5 linked regions of the Nothobranchius furzeri genome follow. The protein of the gene in region 5 purifies or fractionates together with the protein of the main gene of each other region. This does not show direct contact. Links are inferred from orthologs where the notes say so. Each region holds a gene or a part of one and is shown on either strand. Other genes may lie near its edges. The genes, in order: spartb, smad6b, txnipa, rnf11b and NEDD4-like E3 ubiquitin-protein ligase WWP1.

Region 1 (4,107 bases), on a different chromosome or scaffold from region 5:
ACTGTGTGCAGGTGCCAAGTCCTGTTGAAAGGTGAAGTCTGCATCCCCATAAAGTTGGTCAGCAGCAGGAAGCATGAAGTGCTCTAAAACTTCCTGGTAGATGGCTGCATTGACCCTGGACCTCAGGAAACAGAGTGGGCCAACACCGGCAGATGACATGGCACCCCACACCATCACTGACGGTGGAAACTTTACACTGGACCTCATGCAACGTGGATTCTGTGCTTCTCCGCTCTTCCTCCAGACTCTGGGTCCTTGATTTCCAAAGGAAATGCAGAACTTGCTTTCATCAGAAAACATAACTTTGGACCACTCAGCATCAGTCCAGTCCTTTTTGTCCTTGGCCCAGGCGAGACGCTTCTTGCGCTGTTTCTTGTTCAAGAGTGGCTTGACACACGGAATGCGACACCTGAATCCCATGTCTTTCATGAGTCTCCTCGTGGTGGTTCTTGAAGCGCTGACTCCAGCTGCAGTCCACTCTTTGTGGATCTCCCCCACATTTTTGAATGGGTTTGTCGTCACAATTCTCTGCAGGGTGCGGTTATCCCTAGAGCTTGTACACTTTTTTCTACCACATTTTTTCCGTCCCTTCGCCTGTCTGTTAATGTGCTTGGACACAGAGCTCTGCGAACAGCCAGCTTCTTTAGCAATCACCTTTTGTGTCTTGCCCTCCTTGTGCAAGGTGTCAATGATTGTCTTTTGGACAGCTGTTAAGTCAGAAGTCTTCCCCATGATTGTGGTGCCTTCAAAACAAGACTGAGGGACCTTTTAAAGGCCTTTGCAGGTGTTTTGAGTAAATCAGCTGATTAGAGTGGCAGCAGGTGTCTTCTATATTCAGCCTTTTCAGAATATTCTAATTTTTTGAGATACCAAATTTGGAGTTTTCATTAGTTGTCACTTATGAATATCAAATTTAAATGTAATGAACATTGGAAATACATTGGTCTGTGTGCATTGCATGAATATAATGTACAAGTTTCACGTTTTGAATGGAATTACTGAAATATTTTCAACCTTTTGATGATATTCTAATTTACTGGCCAGCACCTGTATCAACGTTGTTCAAATTGTTGCTGCTGACTAAAATCCGGCTCCAAATAAAACCAAAGGAATCATGACTCATGATTTCTTTTTCTATCTTTAAACACACCTAATCCTGATTCCCGAGAGGATGACATCAGTGTCTACAGGATTAGGGACGAGATAAACTACTCCCAAATGATGGGTGTTCATAGGGCGAGAGAAGTGGATAACAGACAAGACTACCTCCTCCCACTGTTGCAGTCTGAGATCTTAAGCATGCCTCACAGAATCAGGTTAAAGGGAAACGGCTAGAGTCAGGCCAGCAGTGGTGACATTTTTTAAGCACTTATTGCATCAGGCAGACACATGTTTGGCTAATTAGTGCTTCCTGTCATACCTGCAGAAATGCTGGTGGTCGATCAGGCATCCTGTCAGACTGATCGCTGGTAAACTTCACCAGACGAAGGTAGCCCGGATATGATGGGGCGCTTACGTGGCCCTCAGGTGTGACGTAGAAGATCTGGACGCCATGAGGAATGTACAGTAACTCCTGCCCATCCTCGTCCATGCCCTGAGGAGATGGCGTTGAGTGAGATGTACGGTTGTAGAACTCATCCCTAACCAGTGACATTTCCCCTGAATCTGTCCCGTAGGAGACAGATATGTGGCCTTGAGCTGCCTGAGGAGAATAAGCTGGAGGCTGCTCAGCTGGACCCACGGGTGGACAGTTCACAGCTACGCCTCCTACAGCTCCAGCAAGCAGGATTGGTAGAGTCGGTCTCTCTGGCTTCTCTTTGAAGTGGAGCTTTGGGTACAGACCTTCTGCATCCTGTGCGGGTGCAGCTTCACCATCAGAGCAGGTCTCCAGGATGGCGAGGCGGGTGGTGATGTTGTTCAGCGTCTCCTGCATCTTATGCTGCATCTGTCTGGCCGATTCCCAGGAGCTACCATGACACTCGTCTCCCGTCGAAGGCACACTGATGGCCCTGATGAGGTGCTGTCGGCCCCGCTTGTAGAACTCCAGGGCCTGTGTCTTGTCTCCAGCTTCATCTGCTGTTAGTCCTTTGTTGATGCACTCAAAAGCACTCTCATAGCCATCGTTGATCAACTGAAGTCTGGCGTTATCAAAGGCATCTTGTTTAGCCTTCTCCATCCCCCTTGCAAAGTAAAATCTGATTAATTTTAGACAGCTGTTCTATATTTAATCGCAACAACCAACAAGGTAAATAAATAGAACTTTAATGCTAACTGTAGTTAGCTCAACTTTCTAAAGTTCATTTATAATTTACGCAAACTGCTCGTCTGATGAACAAAACGTGTTTAACTGGATCAAAGCATAGGTAACAGTCAGATTTACACGTGTTTGTTGTGCTGTAGTCGGATGGAGCATTGAGCTAATTCTGATTAAATAAATAAATAAACAAAAATAGCTAACGTTCCTGTACAGACAAGATGAGTTGTTATTGCATATTTTCAATGTTACAGCGAACAGAAATAATCTAAATAACACAGAAAACTCCTGATATCAACAGTTTGTTTGGCTTACCTCAGTGAGTTACAAAAGAACAGCAAGTTAGCTAGTAGCTGTTTGTTAGCAAACAATTCTTCCAGATTCAGAATGCCTTCTCTCCGAGACTTCCCTCCTACACTGAGCAGACTGCGTCAGACGGTTTCTAAATGCTACACGCTGTAGGGTGAGTTTACAAAGCACACTCGTGACCTTTCAAAACAACACTTTGACCGGAAGAACGCATGTTTGACGCAGGCGACAAATGTTAGCGCTAAACTTAGCTTTGCTTTTATTGTGAAAGTATGCACCGGAAAAGTAATTATACTGCTACTGGGGCTTGACTTTTTAATTCTTGCCATTTGTTATTGTTACCACAGGAGGGCAGTGTGGGACAATTCAAAACACACTATGCATGAGTAGCCCCCGATGGTAGCCCCTGACTGCAGTACGCAGATTGGGGCGGGGCGCAAGATTGCATCGGCCGCTTGTCCGGTGCGTCCAAATGGAAACGCAACACTACACAAAGTCAATGGGTATCAAACTAAATAAACACTCATTGAAAGCAAAAATGTAAGTGAACAATCACACTGATAAATTAGTTGTTTAACTTTCAGCTTGTTTCGTCGCTTGAAGGCTGCTGCTGAATCAACCCTTGTATAAGTATATTGTGTCTAAGAGAGCCGTAGCTAGCATTTGCCTCCCTCTAGCGGTCATTATTTATAACTGCAACCAAGTCATTTAATCAAGTTGTTTTTCTAACAATATGTACAATATCCGGTTAATACTTTCAAAATAAACCTCAAAATCTCCGATAACAGAAATCACTTTACTGTAGTTTTCTGCCCAAATCAAATATGGAAGTTGTAAAGTGCCGATGCACATAGCTAACGGGATTGATTGGAGAGCTTTTTGAAGAAAATAAAATTAAAAAATTTAATCTATTTGAGTGAGAGTTAAACACGATCAACATGGAGTTGCTAAAGAAAAACAGCTATCAAAGCTTTTCATAATTATTTGCTTACAGCGACTAACTGTTAAGTTAGTCCAAATTCAGTTTTCTTTTATTTTTCAATTCCTAGAGATTTTAGAATTTCTACAATATTTTTACATATTTTGTAACTAATTAAGTTCATTTTATATTTCAGTTTTACAAAACTAATCTCTAAATTATTCTGTGGCACATTCACATGCAGGTTTGATTACTAACAACACTGATTAATTTCTTGTGTTCCTTCTTCTATTTTCTTTTATTAATTCTTTTAAAGATGCATTCATACACATATTTGCATTATTTTTATTACCACTGATTACTTTATTACACGACTTTTATGATTTCCTTAAATTTAAATTTTTGCCAGTTATGAGCTACTGATTGTTTAGGTCTTCCATTTTTGATAACATTTTTGCTCTAAAGCTTTAATTTTCCCTTACATATATTATAGGGTTTTGTTTATTTTGTTCTTTTTGCAACACTTTTCCAGTCCACGTAGTTTACTGCATTTACTCCTTTAAGCTGACTTCTTTTCACATAATCTCCATACAGATAGCACATACAGGTACATGCAGTCCTAGGT
Region 2 (3,515 bases), on a different chromosome or scaffold from region 5:
GTTTGTCTTGTCAGAACACAAGTCTTTACAGTTTAGTACGCAAAGAAGCAGAGCTAGAAGTCTTCATCCGACATTCTTTAACGTCCTGCTTTATTCTGCTCTGTTTAACTGAAGATTTTGATTTACAGAAGACTTTTCATTGTGTAATTTGGATATTTATATTACTGTTTTGTGTGCAGAGTCACCTCCTCCTCCATATTCAAGGCTTTCCCCTAACGAAGAACACAAGCCACTGGGTAAGAGACAAAAACAATAATAAACTCTGTTACATTTGAAGTCTTTCCATGTATTTTATGTGGTTATGAATGTTTTTTTAATTGATCATGCTTGTTTAATTTGGAAGAGTGCAAAGACTTTAAGGTGTGGAACACTTAAAACACATTTTTAAAATAATTATTCCAGATTATAATCAGTCGCTCTGAGTTTTTCATGCAGGCTGAACATGACAGTCTCCTACACTTATCTCCTGCATTAGCCTCTGACAGTGATGGTTTGGTGAAAATCCTGGTTTTGAAAAGCTCGACAGATCTACATCACAATATCACTAAGTATTAATGGACTCACCCATCGTGACTCGTGATGGGGAATGGTGTTGTGGGTTTAGCGTCCAGGAAACAGCGGATAACATCTTAGCAAGTAGAAGCTAACCATTAGCATGCAAGTAGAAGCTAACCATTAGCATTAGCAACACCACTACACAGCAGAAAACCTCCATGCTGTTATTTGTGGAGATAAAACATAAACTTTGAAGTGAGTGAAAGAGTCGCGTTGCTGTTATCCAATCCGGAGCGAGATGTTCAAATATCAGGAAATAAGACCATTGTCTAAAGCTCAGCTATGATGTGGTTAACAACTAGTTCCTGAAAATGGTGCCCCGGTATATTTTCCCCCCAGGGTATGACTTACAAGGCATTAATTCCTACTAGAAACCACTGCAAACAAATCGATTAAATGGGTTTCCCACACCTTTAAATAAAAAAGTGTGCACAGGTTGAATTACAGTTGGAGAAAAAAAGCTGAACACACTTTTAGGTACCTGATAATATTTTTATAGATCAGTTAAAAACAATTTATATCCATGAATCATGTCTGGAGTAAAAAAGCACCACTTATATAACAAGAACACCCAGCAGTAAGCAGTTGCGGAGGTGTTCTTTGCTGCTTGGAGGATCTGGTAAACACAACTTATTTTCTTAAATGCATGACCATTAAAAAGAAAACACTGTTTATAAGTGAAATCTGGTAATAACTATACTCTCAAGGAAGATTGTGATTCCCAGAATATGTCCTGCTTAGAAACCATCTTTGCCAGTCCTGTACTCACATGTTGTTGAGAGTTTGGTTTTTGTAATCGCAAAACCAGACTGAAGCAAATTGGAAGGACTGAAAAAAAAAAAAAATATATATATATATATATATATATATATATATATATATATATATATATATATATAGTGAGTACTTCCATCTCTTTGAATTTAGGGAAATAATCTCCACAGGTTGGGTCTCAAAGTCACTTGGACTAATTATAATGCATATCTCTTACCTTTATTTATCAATAATTTAGCTCAAATGTTTATCTTTTGTTTGGACCACTACAGTCAGTTGGTTTGAATGGTTTTGGTTGTAGCTGTTTGTAGTGGGAGACTACTGGATCAAAAGCCTGAGTACAGTTTAAAGTTTCTGGCTGTGTTTGAGAGGATGTCAACACTTAAAAGTCTGCCAGTGAGGTTACGAGGTCATTAACTGTGTGGTGAAGCCTTTGGTGGGGTTTATTGTTTAGAATAAAAAAAAAATCCTATTATATTGGAATGAAAAGTGAACAGGGGTTGCCATCAGGGGTCATCAGCTGGTTCTAAAAGTACTGGGGAAACATTTTGGCATGACCACTTGATCAGGAGCTGATTTCTGTGTCATTCCCTGCAGATCTGTCTGACTCCACTTTGTCTTACACTGAAAGCGAGGCAGCCAGCTCACCAAACATCACACCGGGGGAGTTTTCAGGTGGGTGTGTTTTTACAACTGTTCTTGGCCTCAAAACAAGGTCTTCCAAATGTTTCTGAACCAAAGTAGAGATTAATGATTACTGAAAAAGGTTATCAACCCAGAGCAGCCGGTTTGGTAAATACTGAGGTAATTTGTCAAACAAGAACATCAGCCTGAGAAATGTAAACATAGTGGGCAGAAACGGCTTTTGTCTTTAGAAATATACGGTTTGAATGGTCAGCTGCTGTCTGCATGGTTGTTCTCAGTGAATGGTGATGTTTACACAGGTTCTGGAGTCAAAACATGCACTCATGCTGGCTGATGCAAAGGGGCTGGTAAAATGATCAACTAACTAGCATTTGTGTGCTTATTTAACGTAGGAAGGACTGATATTTGCAAAACATTTATAAAAATACATTATACACTTTATTTTCCTCTCAGAATAAAGTTATAGCTAAATAATACGTTTTAATTTCTAGATAATTATGTCCTTTGATTCCATGCAGTTCTTCAAACTTAGAACTTTTTGTGGGTTTGAGTATTTAGCTTTAAATTAAGGGTATTTCCATTTAGGAGACAGAGTGAATATTGCTATAAATCATAGTTTTGAAATAATCCTTCAGTCTTGTGTTGAAATGTATAAAAAATTATATCCTCTCATAAAAGATGATGTGCTGTGCAAAGTTAAATTCTGAAGTTCTGGAGCATCACAAACGCATTGATGTTGTGAAATAAAGGTCTGATTGTGACTAGAGGTTTTTAAAGAGGGGCGTCGGCATTGGCTCCAGCACAGGCGGCGTCCCCATTTTTTCAGTATTATTTTATTTTTTCAGAAATATTTGAAACTGTAATGAGATCCAAGATTGCTCAGAAGCACACACGCTTACACCTAAACCTTTACTCGTATGTAGCCTAGCTTAAAAGAGAACAAAGGGAGGGGTTCGGAATATGGCCGCTGCTGTGAATGTGGTCACACCAAAAGAAGCAAGTGGAAACACTCTCATCCTCTTTCCTCATGGTGAGCATGGCCCCACACCCCCCAACTTCATGCTAGGGTATCATGTGTTCAGTCAGAGCCCTTATAGTGGAGTATGCATGGACTAGCCTCTCCCTGTTAAAAGGGTCTGCCACGACTCACGGGCCTGGAAGCTGAACGGTTGCTACCTTGCTAAGAAGTATTCAGTCAGCAGAAGCCCCTTCCACCTCCTCCCCTCCCACTCACACAGACTGTCACCACCTCAGCATGGCCCGACGACACTCCCTGAGTCAACAAATGAGGGGCTTGTCAGAGCGCGCACCACAATTCCTCAGAGATTCTGGTGAGGGAGGATCTAGATGTGCAAGGCTTTGGTTTCTTCCAACTGTATCGCTATTCGCACAGGCCGGGTCTGATCACAGCACATTGGTCACAACACGCTCGGCGTTAGGGCCTCGAGAAATAAAATACCCCTCCCTCTGAGGGGTGTTTTCCAAACTTGACCTCATTTGTACCCCTAGTTTTCTCTCTGCTGTTCCTAAACAGGGAAGTT
Region 3 (4,190 bases), on a different chromosome or scaffold from region 5:
CAATCAGATCATTTAACATTGTGCCTTTAATAGAAAACAGACCCATAGGGCTTCTTACAAAAATACTTAACGTATAAATGATACATTAAAACATTTCCACATCAGCCATTCGCTGCAGTTCTGTTTGAGCCAACAGAAAAACTACAGAACCATCACAGAAATGTTGCCTGAGACAACTGGAGCTGATGTTCTAGAAGGTGCTTTCATCAGGTCTGAGTTGCTGAATCTCTGTTTTTCCAGCAAAAAAAAAAAAAAAAAAAAAAAAAAAAAAACTGCCAATGGCAAATCTCAGAAGTAGGTTCCTGGAAACTGGAAAATAAAAGTCATTCCAACATAAAAATATTGTTCAGAGACAACCTGGTCAGCAGACGTGGAGAAAGTACAAAGTGCTACAGGAAACATGAAGAAATGGCTTCAAACATCTGGAAACATCACTCAGCATTAGAGTTCTGTAATCTTCAGGAGAATGTTGTTCCTACACCTCAACGAAACAGCAGCTCCTTAAGTCCTGACTGGAATGATTCATGAAGACATCTCAGCAGGTTGGATCCAACTCAAATGCCTCTTGGGCCTGTGGACAGGCTCTGGAAGTGATGGCTTCAGGACTCCGACCCAAACAGCTCCAGGAGGGAGATTCTGCATCAGCATGGAAGACGAAGCATGGTAACAGGCAAGTGCATTTCTGTTCAACTCTCCATCCAACATCCCATCCCATCTGGAGTTTGGACCTTCAGCTTTTTGGAAGCGCTTTAGAAGAACAATCGGAGAGGTGGACAACCCCTCCAGGATTCGGGACTTTTAGCAGACAGGAAGCATCTGAGCATTCCCCTTGTACTCCTCAGCCTGAAAAACAAAAAAACCTTGAGATGTAATGCCACATGTAGCTTGGTGCTAGCCATGGAGCTAACTGGTGTGAGACCTACCTCAGAGTAGGCTGGAGGGGATGGGAACTGGAAGCTGGGAGCGTTCATAAAGATGGGACTGTCATCACAGTCCACATCATCTAGAAGAGGCGTGAGCGGCTGGTCCAGACGGCAGTCTTTAGTGATGTCACAGTAGCTCGGGGGTTCAGCGGGCATCCTGAGGGACACCCAGCTCTGAGAGGCAGTGCTGATCGAACCCTCCTGGCTGCTCACACTGTTAGTGCGACTGCCAATCCCAGATGTCCCAATGACCAGGGGCAGCTCCAGGATAAGCTTTTCACTGCCGGGGATGTGGATGTAAATCTGGGAAACAATGAGGAACCTTAACACCATGTTCCAGGGCTAACAGAGTCCTCCCATAGGAAGCAGACTTACCATCAGGGCGTACTCCACTCGGATGATGTTGCAGCCCAGCATGGACGGTTTGATCTTCGGCACCCTGATGGTCTTCCCCTGCCAGGCGTCGCACATCCCTGAGATGATGTGGTTTCCACGCACAGAGGAAAGCTTCTGGCGGAAAACTTTGGTGCGCCCGTTAGCCTGGTATGTGTGCTTGGCTATGATGGCGGCTTTCGGGACCACAATGCGGGAGCATGTGTTCTCAAATTTGGCGTTGATGCAGATGTCTTCACCCTCGCAGAAACCACGGCGGTCAATTTTAGCGTTGAGCGACACCTGGCCATCAGGGATGAACATGCAGGTGACTTTCTTCTCCTTCATGCCGCCAGCAGGAGACTGAAGACACAGGAAGCAGTTTGTCATCACCAGAACTGTGGTGGTGTGTAAAAAGGAGCTGCTGATTGGAACCAGTCATCATGCATGATTGTCTGTTACTGAAATAAAACCATCTGCCTCTCTGGGAGCAGCTTCTGAGTCCACTTCTAAACTTCCTGCATACGCCGGTCACGTGATACCTCTTATCTACTGTATCATGGTGGAACCACGCGCGCACACGCACAGGGAAACAGTGGGGTGTTTCCCATGTAAACAGAAGATCCGAAGTGAAACCAGATCGCTCTGGTTCTGACCCACTAGTGAACTCACCAGCAGGTCCGGAGTGTTCACATCCAGAGGTTCTTCCACCTCGAAGTACTTCTTGCTCTCCACCGTGGGCTGCTGAGGTCTCTCCATCTGGGCCTTGACATAGTACTGGACGTAACCGAACTTGCCCTTGTATGACGACACCAGCTGACTGAAAGTCCAGAACGAACACAGCAGACCTGTTAAAACCCAAGGCATTACCTCTAGAGGTCAGTGATGCGTCCTAGACCCAGATGGACTGGGTCCGACTTACCCCTGCTCAGGAAGGTCGAACCCAAACGGGTACTCATACTTGTTACCGGGTCTCAGAACTACGGATCCGTCCGAGTCTGAAAGATACACAGACGGTTGTGATCAGCATGTTGCTGTGATGATGCCCCAGAGAGAATCCCCGGACCCCATGTACCTGCGGGCTGGTCGCCCAGACTCAGAACCTCCTCGTACCGAAGGTACTCGGCCTCCTGGCGGCACCGCTGCTTGCCTTTAGCGTACTCCACCTTCGCGCAGCCCAGACCCAGCAGCTTGACGGCGGACACACGGGTCACCTCGGACACCTCCACCTCGACCCGACCGCTGACCCGGTCCCCGCCGCAGTAAAACGATTTGCACGGGTCCGACAGGACGACCTGGAAGGTTTTCACTTTTTTCGTCATTGCCACCATGTTTGCGTTCTGTTTCCAACTCGCGCAGCAATGTGAGCTTTTCGCGTTACAACGCCCGAAAGTTAGACAGCTATCCCCTCCTAAACCGCTCCCTGTTCTCTGCTGTAAACAAAGACTCTGACCGTTTTATACCAGCAGCGCGTGCAGAGCATGTGCAGCTGGGACGTCCGCTGTGACTCAGCGCGTGCACATGGCTCCGATTGGTCGAAATCCTTTGTTTGTCTCGCCTCCAGCCAATCAGCAGAAGAATTCAGCGCGTGAACACTGCATGGCAGTGAGGCTGCAGCGCGTGCTGAGCTGATGTGAGCACGAAGTTTGAGACAGAAACAGAAATGCTCCTCAGTTAGTAAACAGCTCGGAACAGGCACAATACTGGGGAATAAGAGTCAATATTAAAGGATATCATTCCTGATCCGCTGCACCTGCCGCTCCAGTTCGGCTTAGACAATATTGTTAGAAAACATTTTTAGTATAAAGGACATTATAGCTGAAGGAAAAACGGTTTCAAAATTACAAAATATGAGCAGATGGTTGAAAAAGCAGATAGATGGACAGTAATGCTGTGATGTAGATAACGTCCTGAACAGCCTCTGTTCAGAAAAATAGTTCAGGAGCAGTGGCGGTCACAGGGAGCGCTGGGGTGCCACCCTACCAGTCTCACAGGGAGATGAAGAAGAAGATAGAAATCCTAACATACTTTTAAAACACCCTGAAAATTCCATGAAATGATCTATAATTATACAGAGTATAAGTGCTCTGTTTATTCTGCATTTAAGTGTGGTTTAAAAATGTCCTCTGGAGGCTGATTCATGCTTCTCCGTCAGCTCCGCAAGGGACAGACACACACGGATTGACGGAAGTGTTTTGCTCTCATACTTCTTCGTCTCCTGGGAAGTGTTGCAAAGCAATTCCCCGTCAGGACAACAGAGGGCGTAGCGCTGTTCTGTGGTATCCTGTCATGTATCCAGTCCAACATAGTGTGTTTATATTGTGTTTTTTGTAAATAAGAGACTTTTTAACACGACAAATTTGTCTCTCATTCTCCTCCACCTCTTCATGCGCTCGCCACCTCTAAACCCACGTTTCCTGTCATTTCCGTCCACAAATAAAATGCTTGCTGCGTAACTTTTCACTCCTCCAGTCACGGGGCAATTAAACGTTCATATTTTAGAGTTTTTTCGCGAGGTATTCTTCAAGCTTCTCCGTGTCTGCCACTAGTTATTCTCGGCTTTCTTTATGATTTTGAGGGCGCAATGGCGGCGGTGTAGACGACAGTGGTGCCCTGACCAATCACAAGCTTGCGTTCTCCGTCTCGTTTGACGTATGTTTAAAAAAGTTGGCTCGACTCCGTACGTACTTGCGTGCCTGCCGGGGCCCTACGCAAGGACGGATAATGACGTTGCGTGTCTCCGCACTGACGCAGAAGGAGAAGCATGAATCAGCCTTTAGTCTTACCACGACCGAAAGGTCGTGTGATGCATTTCCTGTTTCTTTGGGGAGCAGAAATCTTTAAAATAGACTTATGGTAGTTGGGGCATGCACACTGGATCCCCCTCTTACACAA
Region 4 (3,144 bases), on a different chromosome or scaffold from region 5:
TGTTCTGATATTCTGACATCTAATCTCCTCGACTCACTCAGTTTACGTTGTAACACGGATGTTTCATCTCCACAAATAACACAAGCCTGGAGGAGTTTTCCCATGCGGTAAAGTTGCTAATGCTAATAGTTAGCTTCTACTAGCCGAGATATTCTCTACCATTCCCTGGACACTAAACGTCTACAGCCGTCGCGAGTCATGACGGATGTTAAGTGACAGTGTGAAGTTGATCTGAGCTTGTCTAATCCTAGTATTTTCATCTTTTTTATTGGTGGCTAATGCAGGAAACAAGGGTAGAAGACTATTTTCACAATAAGCCTGCATGTGAAACTCAAGAGTGACTAATCATATTTCAAAACTAACAAGTAAACAACAGTTTCTCAATGAACTTGGTCTTTAAGTAATAGGTTTAGTGGAACCAGTTGACATAACTTGGTTAAGTAAATTCAACATTAGATTTCTGAGAGTGCACTTTGTTCTTGACTGTACTAACTAGTTCTGTCAGTAATTCTTTAAAACTTTTACACAGGAACCTACTTAAAAACAGCTGAAAAATCCCTTTAAGTACTGCAAATTTCAAATTCTGATCAAAGTGTCGCTCATCTGTTGACTTTTTGCTTTGGCCTGTAGTCTGAGATCTCATCAGTGATAATTTTAGCATCATCACATGAATGAGTGAAGCACATACTTCCTTTTGCTGAGTCTGTGTTTTTGGTAAACCGATTCAACACGAAGTCCTTATGTTGATTTGCAAAATAACTAAAGAACAGATTTCACAAAGCCACAGAACAGCCAATCGACACAGCGACCATTCAGCTAACGTTTCACAGGAAAGATCTGCAGAGACAAGTCAAGGTAGGTGTGCAGAAGACGGAGGGAGCCTGGTAGTCTGTGCTACTATGTTGTGTGTTCGTCTCTACTAGTCTCGTCTACAACAACCCTGTAACAGTTTCTTAGGAAATACAACTACCAATCAACTTTTCCTTCGGTTATGAAAGTTTTCACTTACCAACAGACAGAGAAAAACAATCTGCATTCTTGTAATGAAAGTAAAAGGAAGGGAGTATGCTTCTGTTTGTGTGTGTGTGTGTGTGTGTGCCAAATTTGAAAACAGAACATAAAAATATTTCTCAGTCATGATAGTTAATATTCACAGGTTCCAGCTGCTTCTCTGTCGCTCGCTTCATGCACACACCCGGGCTTTCTGCACTCATCTTTGACTCCTCTCTCCTCCCTGCTCTTGTTCTTTATTCCTCCTGTCCTTTCTCAGATGCAGTCCTGTCCAGCAGGCCAACTGAGGAAATGGTGTACACACACACACACCGTACATATATTTATAATTATAAATTTTTATGCACAAACATTATTCATCCTACGTTATTTTACGATCAATGCTTTGAAATCACCATCTTACTAATCCAGGATATAAGTTGGGGAAGTTGATGTTTAGTGTATTTAGAGTGTCCATGGATTTGTTCAGGTCCTGTGTGGTCCAGGGGGTGCTTGTGTCAGTTGGTCTCGTAGGAGGAGAGCAGCGCAGCGTCCACAGGCTCCATGCAGGAGGGGCAGGTGAAGGATCTCATCAGCCAGTCGTCTATACAGTCCAGGTGGTAGATGTGCATGCAGGGCAGGAACCGGATGGGGTCTCCATAAACAAAGTCCATCATACAGATGACGCACCTGCAGAGGTGAGAACATACCATCGTAAACTCTCCTCAATGCACAAGACCTATCTCAATGACTTCTCTGGTGTATCAAAATGAAAATTACTAAAAAAAAAAAGATTTTACTTTAAGCTAAAGCTTTAACATTTATCTTAGTAAACTTAACCAGCTTTGCCGTTTTCACATCAGGGTCGGTCCGGCCCAGGTATGGTATATTGTGTTCACATCTGGGTAGCCTGTATTTTTTTTCGTGCTCCACCGACCATATTTTCAGCCCTCTTCCCCAGGCGGGCTGCTTTGGGCTGAACTGACCCAACACAACCTCTGCAGACCGACTGACTGGCTCAAATTCATGCCTACCATTAAGGGAAGCCTCTGACTGACAAAGACAAATCAGCCAGCAGGGGCTTCCGCATGTGGGATTCATTATCATTCTGGAAACTGAGGAGTAAACACTGCCTCTGACTGAAGCTGCAGGAGCTCTCTGTCTCTGTCACTGAGACGTGCTGTGAAGAGCACACACACAGGGAGCGCTGTGGAGGCTTGCATGCTGCCCTGCGCGAGGACAGACAGCAGTCAGGATGCAATATCAGAGTCAGAGAATGCAAAAGCAACGCTTTGTTTACTTAACTTAAGGGAGGCATCACAGATTTCTCAGTGCATCTTTTCCCTGCCCATGTGCTCTGAGATTTCCACATTCCTAAAAAGAATGTGTGAACAAAACCTACCGGTGCAGGACCCTGATCTGGAGCCACCCAGCCTGGGCCAAATGTGAAACTGGCTTTTGACAACACTCTGCGGCCCTCCGCTGACCAAAAACCGCACTTAATAGTTTAGTGGAGCAGGTAGGTGTCCTAGGAGGCGCTCTTTACCTTCTTTATGGCTGTTAGCTGTAATGTTAGTGGTTAGCATTTTCAGTTTGCCAATCATCAATATAAAGCAGAAAAAGAAGAAGTTTGCTTTTTCTGTTGGCATCATGGCAGAGCCTGGAAGTAAAAGTAAGAGTAATGTCTCTTGATATGAAGCAAAGAGCTACAACCAGAGTTAACATAAGCATGGCCTACACTAGTTTGAGGGAGCTAAAGGATGCTACAAAATCACGGACTGATTGTGACCTGGCTTTGTTGCTACTGGATTTATAAGTATTTATAAATATTTTTTGTCCTACAGTGTGGATCTTTTTATTTCATGGTTTATTTTAGCATTAGTTAGGTCAAATTTGTGTTAGCTTGTTATTAGTGCTAGCTACAGTTGGGTTGTTTACAACAGTTGTTATCGTACTTTCAACCAGTAGGATGGAGGAGCAGAAAACTGCTCACTCTTACTTTAAAGTGATTTAGAAAAAAACAATTTTTGCATTACAGCAGTGTGTACTTTCTAGGGATGTGAATCTCAGAGCAACTCACAATTTGATTCGATTCCGATTCTCAGGGTGCCGATTCGATTCGAAATCGATTTAAATCGATTCACAATCAATATT
Region 5 (3,515 bases):
TATTCCAACAATTTGAGAGCTAATAAGATTTATATCTTTATAACATAAAGAAAAGCATCAGTTTAATCATTCTGTCTCTAAAATCCTCAGTAAACAAAAGAGCTCTAAATGAAGTGACATCAATTTGATCAGCTGAAGAAACCAGTGGGAAAAGCCTGATGACATCAGTGTTGAATGCCCTGAAAACCTGGTCGATGCTGACAGCACGGGTATCTTACCCTGGTGGTAAAGGATCTGAGGCTGCAGCGTTGGGCGTCTGCTGCCTGGGCTTCACGCCATCTGTAGTCACAGCTGTGCCATTACTACTGCTGCCTCCCACACTTCCTGAAGCACTTGTGTCACCCGCGGCTGGAGAGGAAGAGGACGAAGATGAAGATGTTGTGACGGTGGTGGCCCCCTGGGCTGGAGAGGCATGTGTAGTGGAAGCAGCAGTGCCGTTGGCGGGTTTAGCAGCAACAGAGGTGGCTGGAGAAGGGGTGGAGGCTAGCTGAGATGTGCTCGCTGGGGCCGTTTCAGCATCTGGATTGCAGTCCTCGTGGTCATCAACAGGGGGCGGCGCGTCACCTCTTGTTGCAGAAGGTTCCCTTAGAACAGCCTCGGCGGATTCCCCATTTACTGCAGACAGTAAAACCAACACTGAACGGGGCAGTCTGAGGAGAAGCGAGAAAGCGCTCCAGCTTTGATTTTATTAATTTTACCTTCATCATTTTTTGACATAAGTGCGTATATATAAGCACTTGTTACTAAACACAGTGCTGAATAATTTAGACATGCATTATTAGTGTAAAATCTGACGCAGCATCATTTAGAGAACACCTCCAGAACATTGTCACAACCCAAAGATGAGGTCAGACAACCTACTTCAGTGTTTACGTATAAAAGCAGCTTTATTTATTAGGATTTAACCTCTTTTCATCGGTTTAATCCAGAGCAGCTCTGCTTTCCTCCCTTCTGTCTCCTGCGAGTTGGGACAAAGGTGCTGACAGCAGCAGGCTGCAGGCTTCACTTAATGAAAATTAATCTACTGCTCCTCTTTACCATTCACCACAAGCCTGTGAGTCATGAAGAACAAAAACCCAGCAAACCAGAGACCTACCTGCGAGGCTAAGCGCACGTCACCCAAGACCTGCAGCAAATATCACCTCATTTATCCACAGGGTTGATGTGAGCAGACTCTCATCCGACGCTAAACATTATCAGTAAATATTCTGGCTTTGCATCAACTGAACATAAAATAAAGAAGCAAGCCGTGTCTCTGCTGTCTGAGGGCTGCAGGAACCCAGCTGATGCGTCAAGAGAGGAGAGCTCACCTAGTCTGGTCTCCGTCTCTCTGTCCGAGGGCTGGTGCACTGGGGTGGAGTTGGGTGTTGTGTCCCCGTTGAGGGTGTGATCAGGAGCAGGGCTGCAGGAGCTGGAAGGCACCTGACCCTCCGCACCACTGGTGGCTGAACAGGAACCTGACCTTTGACCCAAGTCTGTCCCGTTCACTGTGCTGTAGGAGGAGGGAAACGTTAAAGCACTGAGCTGTTCTGATTCCTGCTTTAGGTTTGTAACCATCTACCCTGAGAAAGCAGAAAGATGTCCTTGAGGAAACACCACCACAGGCTCTCTGACTATTTTAGAATACTTTTTTAGATAATTTTTTTAAAGTTTGACAGCATTTTCAAAAACTGGAACAGATAAAAGTTCAGCATGTATAAAGCAGTGTTTCCCATCAACACTGTCAGGTTGCTTTGTGGTGAACGGACACCCTCCTGGTGAGACCACTGTTGGGCTGGGCTGAAACGAGGATGCAGACGTAACGAGCACAGCTGAAAGAGCCTCTTTGTAAACCCAAAGAGTTCAGTTAGTGCCAGGGATGTGCAGCCAGACAGGTGAAAACAAAACCCACCACAACATTCAGCCCTTTAATGGGAGGTCACGCTGAAAATCCACCTGTAAATCTTCACTTGTCTCCAAATTCGATTCGATTACGATTATTGGGCCAATGACTCAATTTTTCCATTCTTTCCACGATCTCAGGATGCCTCTCTGACATAAAACATCGGATGGACACCAACTTCCTCAAATTGAACTGCTCCAAAACAGAATTCATCATCACTGGTCCCAAATCTCCCCTACAGTCAGTTCTAAATATTTCTCTACAAATTGACGGTCTCACAGCGACTCCCTCCTCTACAGTCCGCAATCTCAGCGTCATCTTCGACTCCTCCCTTTCCTTCAAGTCCCACATCAACAACATCCACAGGGTATCGTTCTTCCACCTCCGCAACATTGCCCGTCTCCGTCCATCCCTCACTGACTCCACTGCCCAAACACTCATCTTTGCCTTCATAACCTCTGGACTGGACTATTGTGACAGCATTCTTTACGGACGTCCTTCCTCAGCCCTACAAAAACTTCAATACATCCAAAACTCAGCAGCACGTTTACTCACCCACACTCGCTCCAGGGACCACATAACTCCAGTACTCACACAACTTCACTGGCTCCCAGTTTCATACCGGATCCATAACAAATTGCTCCTCATCACTTACAAATGCCTCAATAACCTTGCACCATCCTATCTGACTGAACTTCTCCATCGCCATTCTCCTTCCCGGCACCTCCGTTCTGCTGACTCCAACCTCCTTTCCCCTTTTAAAACAAAACAACGTACCATGGGGGATCGAGCCTTTGCAGCCGCTGCCCCCACACTTCAGAACTTTCTCCCATTAAACTTCAGGAATGCCGTCTCTCTTTCTACTTTTAAGTCACTGCTTAAAACCCACCTCTTTAAAATGGCCTTCCTTTAGGATCAACCCAGCATCCCCCAGTCTGTTTAATATGTTTAATTTTGTTTTATTGTGTTTATTGCATTTTTTTGTGAAGCGCCTTTAAGTGACCTAAAAGGCGCTATATAAGTTTGATGTATTATTATTATTATTGTTGTTATTAATTTGATTTGATATCCCGATGCATCGCGATGATTTCATATGGATGTTTTCATCAATAAATACATGTCAGATGATTGCTTTTTTAAATAAAAATGTGTCTTGGCACAACCTGCTACCCCCCAAAAGTTCTCCATTCACAACAGTCCTTCGGACAGTGTGAAAGCGCCAAACAGTTTAAACATTTAAGATTTAACAAAGTAAATAATCTGTTTCCTCACTCAACAGTCACACCTCAGGCTGAGAAAAACATGCTTTGCAAATGCTCAAAAATCTGAAAATATACTAAAAACCTATAGGACAGTCCAATTATTGCCTTAAATTTAAGATATAAAATCCATAATGGGTCCATATATTAGCTTTTAATGTTGGAGAATTAATCAAGTTCTGTTTAATGCAGAAAATAATAAAAAACATTAATAAAATCCTAAACTTCCAGTGTTATTTGAGACGTTTGTTTTATTCTTGCCGATAACACCAGCAGGAGGCTGTGGGCTGGACTAGGATCAAATGACCCAGCTGATGGATCTCCTTCACTAACCAGCCAACTACAACCGCTTGGCTGTGGGACTTTTATCTCCT

Evidence for each region.
Region 1: the proteins of NEDD4-like E3 ubiquitin-protein ligase WWP1 (region 5) and spartb purify together in Homo sapiens (affinity purification with mass spectrometry; 5 studies listed by BioGRID and IntAct, counting the BioPlex papers as one, with this or other methods). This does not show direct contact. The link is inferred for Nothobranchius furzeri from reciprocal best matches to the Homo sapiens genes WWP1 and SPART.
Region 2: the proteins of NEDD4-like E3 ubiquitin-protein ligase WWP1 (region 5) and smad6b purify together in Homo sapiens (affinity purification with western blotting; 3 studies listed by BioGRID, with this or other methods). This does not show direct contact. The link is inferred for Nothobranchius furzeri from reciprocal best matches to the Homo sapiens genes WWP1 and SMAD6.
Region 3: the proteins of NEDD4-like E3 ubiquitin-protein ligase WWP1 (region 5) and txnipa purify together in Homo sapiens (affinity purification with mass spectrometry; 4 studies listed by BioGRID and IntAct, counting the BioPlex papers as one, with this or other methods). This does not show direct contact. The link is inferred for Nothobranchius furzeri from reciprocal best matches to the Homo sapiens genes WWP1 and TXNIP.
Region 4: the proteins of NEDD4-like E3 ubiquitin-protein ligase WWP1 (region 5) and rnf11b purify together in Homo sapiens (affinity purification with mass spectrometry; 3 studies listed by BioGRID, with this or other methods). This does not show direct contact. The link is inferred for Nothobranchius furzeri from reciprocal best matches to the Homo sapiens genes WWP1 and RNF11.

Annotation. Positions count from the first base shown.
Region 1 is NC_091753.1:42,875,664-42,879,770, forward strand, and holds the start of spartb (spartin b), read right to left. Parts: upstream 2,803-4,107; 5' UTR 2,570-2,802; intron 2,196-2,569; exon of another isoform or gene 2,181-2,195; 5' UTR 2,177-2,180; coding exon 1,421-2,176; intron 1-1,420. UniProt on the Homo sapiens protein: Lipophagy receptor that plays an important role in lipid droplet (LD) turnover in motor neurons.
Region 2 is NC_091744.1:65,938,478-65,941,992, reverse strand, and holds part of smad6b (mothers against decapentaplegic homolog 6b), read left to right. Parts: intron 1-179; coding exon 180-236; intron 237-1,926; coding exon 1,927-2,004; intron 2,005-3,515. UniProt on the Homo sapiens protein: Transforming growth factor-beta superfamily receptors signaling occurs through the Smad family of intracellular mediators. SMAD6 is an inhibitory Smad (i-Smad) that negatively regulates signaling downstream of type I transforming growth factor-beta.
Region 3 is NC_091751.1:26,063,957-26,068,146, forward strand, and holds txnipa (thioredoxin interacting protein a), read right to left. Parts: upstream 2,811-4,190; 5' UTR 2,627-2,810; coding exon 2,371-2,626; intron 2,294-2,370; coding exon 2,218-2,293; intron 2,116-2,217; coding exon 1,968-2,115; intron 1,659-1,967; coding exon 1,299-1,658; intron 1,227-1,298; coding exon 924-1,226; intron 844-923; coding exon 799-843; 3' UTR 241-798; downstream 1-240. UniProt on the Homo sapiens protein: May act as an oxidative stress mediator by inhibiting thioredoxin activity or by limiting its bioavailability.
Region 4 is NC_091748.1:56,811,057-56,814,200, forward strand, and holds part of rnf11b (RING finger protein 11b), read right to left. Parts: intron 1,681-3,144; coding exon 1,509-1,680; 3' UTR 1-1,508. UniProt on the Homo sapiens protein: Essential component of a ubiquitin-editing protein complex, comprising also TNFAIP3, ITCH and TAX1BP1, that ensures the transient nature of inflammatory signaling pathways. Promotes the association of TNFAIP3 to RIPK1 after TNF stimulation.
Region 5 is NC_091747.1:36,676,242-36,679,756, forward strand, and holds part of NEDD4-like E3 ubiquitin-protein ligase WWP1, read right to left. Parts: intron 1,493-3,515; coding exon 1,311-1,492; intron 616-1,310; coding exon 219-615; intron 1-218. UniProt on the Homo sapiens protein: E3 ubiquitin-protein ligase which accepts ubiquitin from an E2 ubiquitin-conjugating enzyme in the form of a thioester and then directly transfers the ubiquitin to targeted substrates.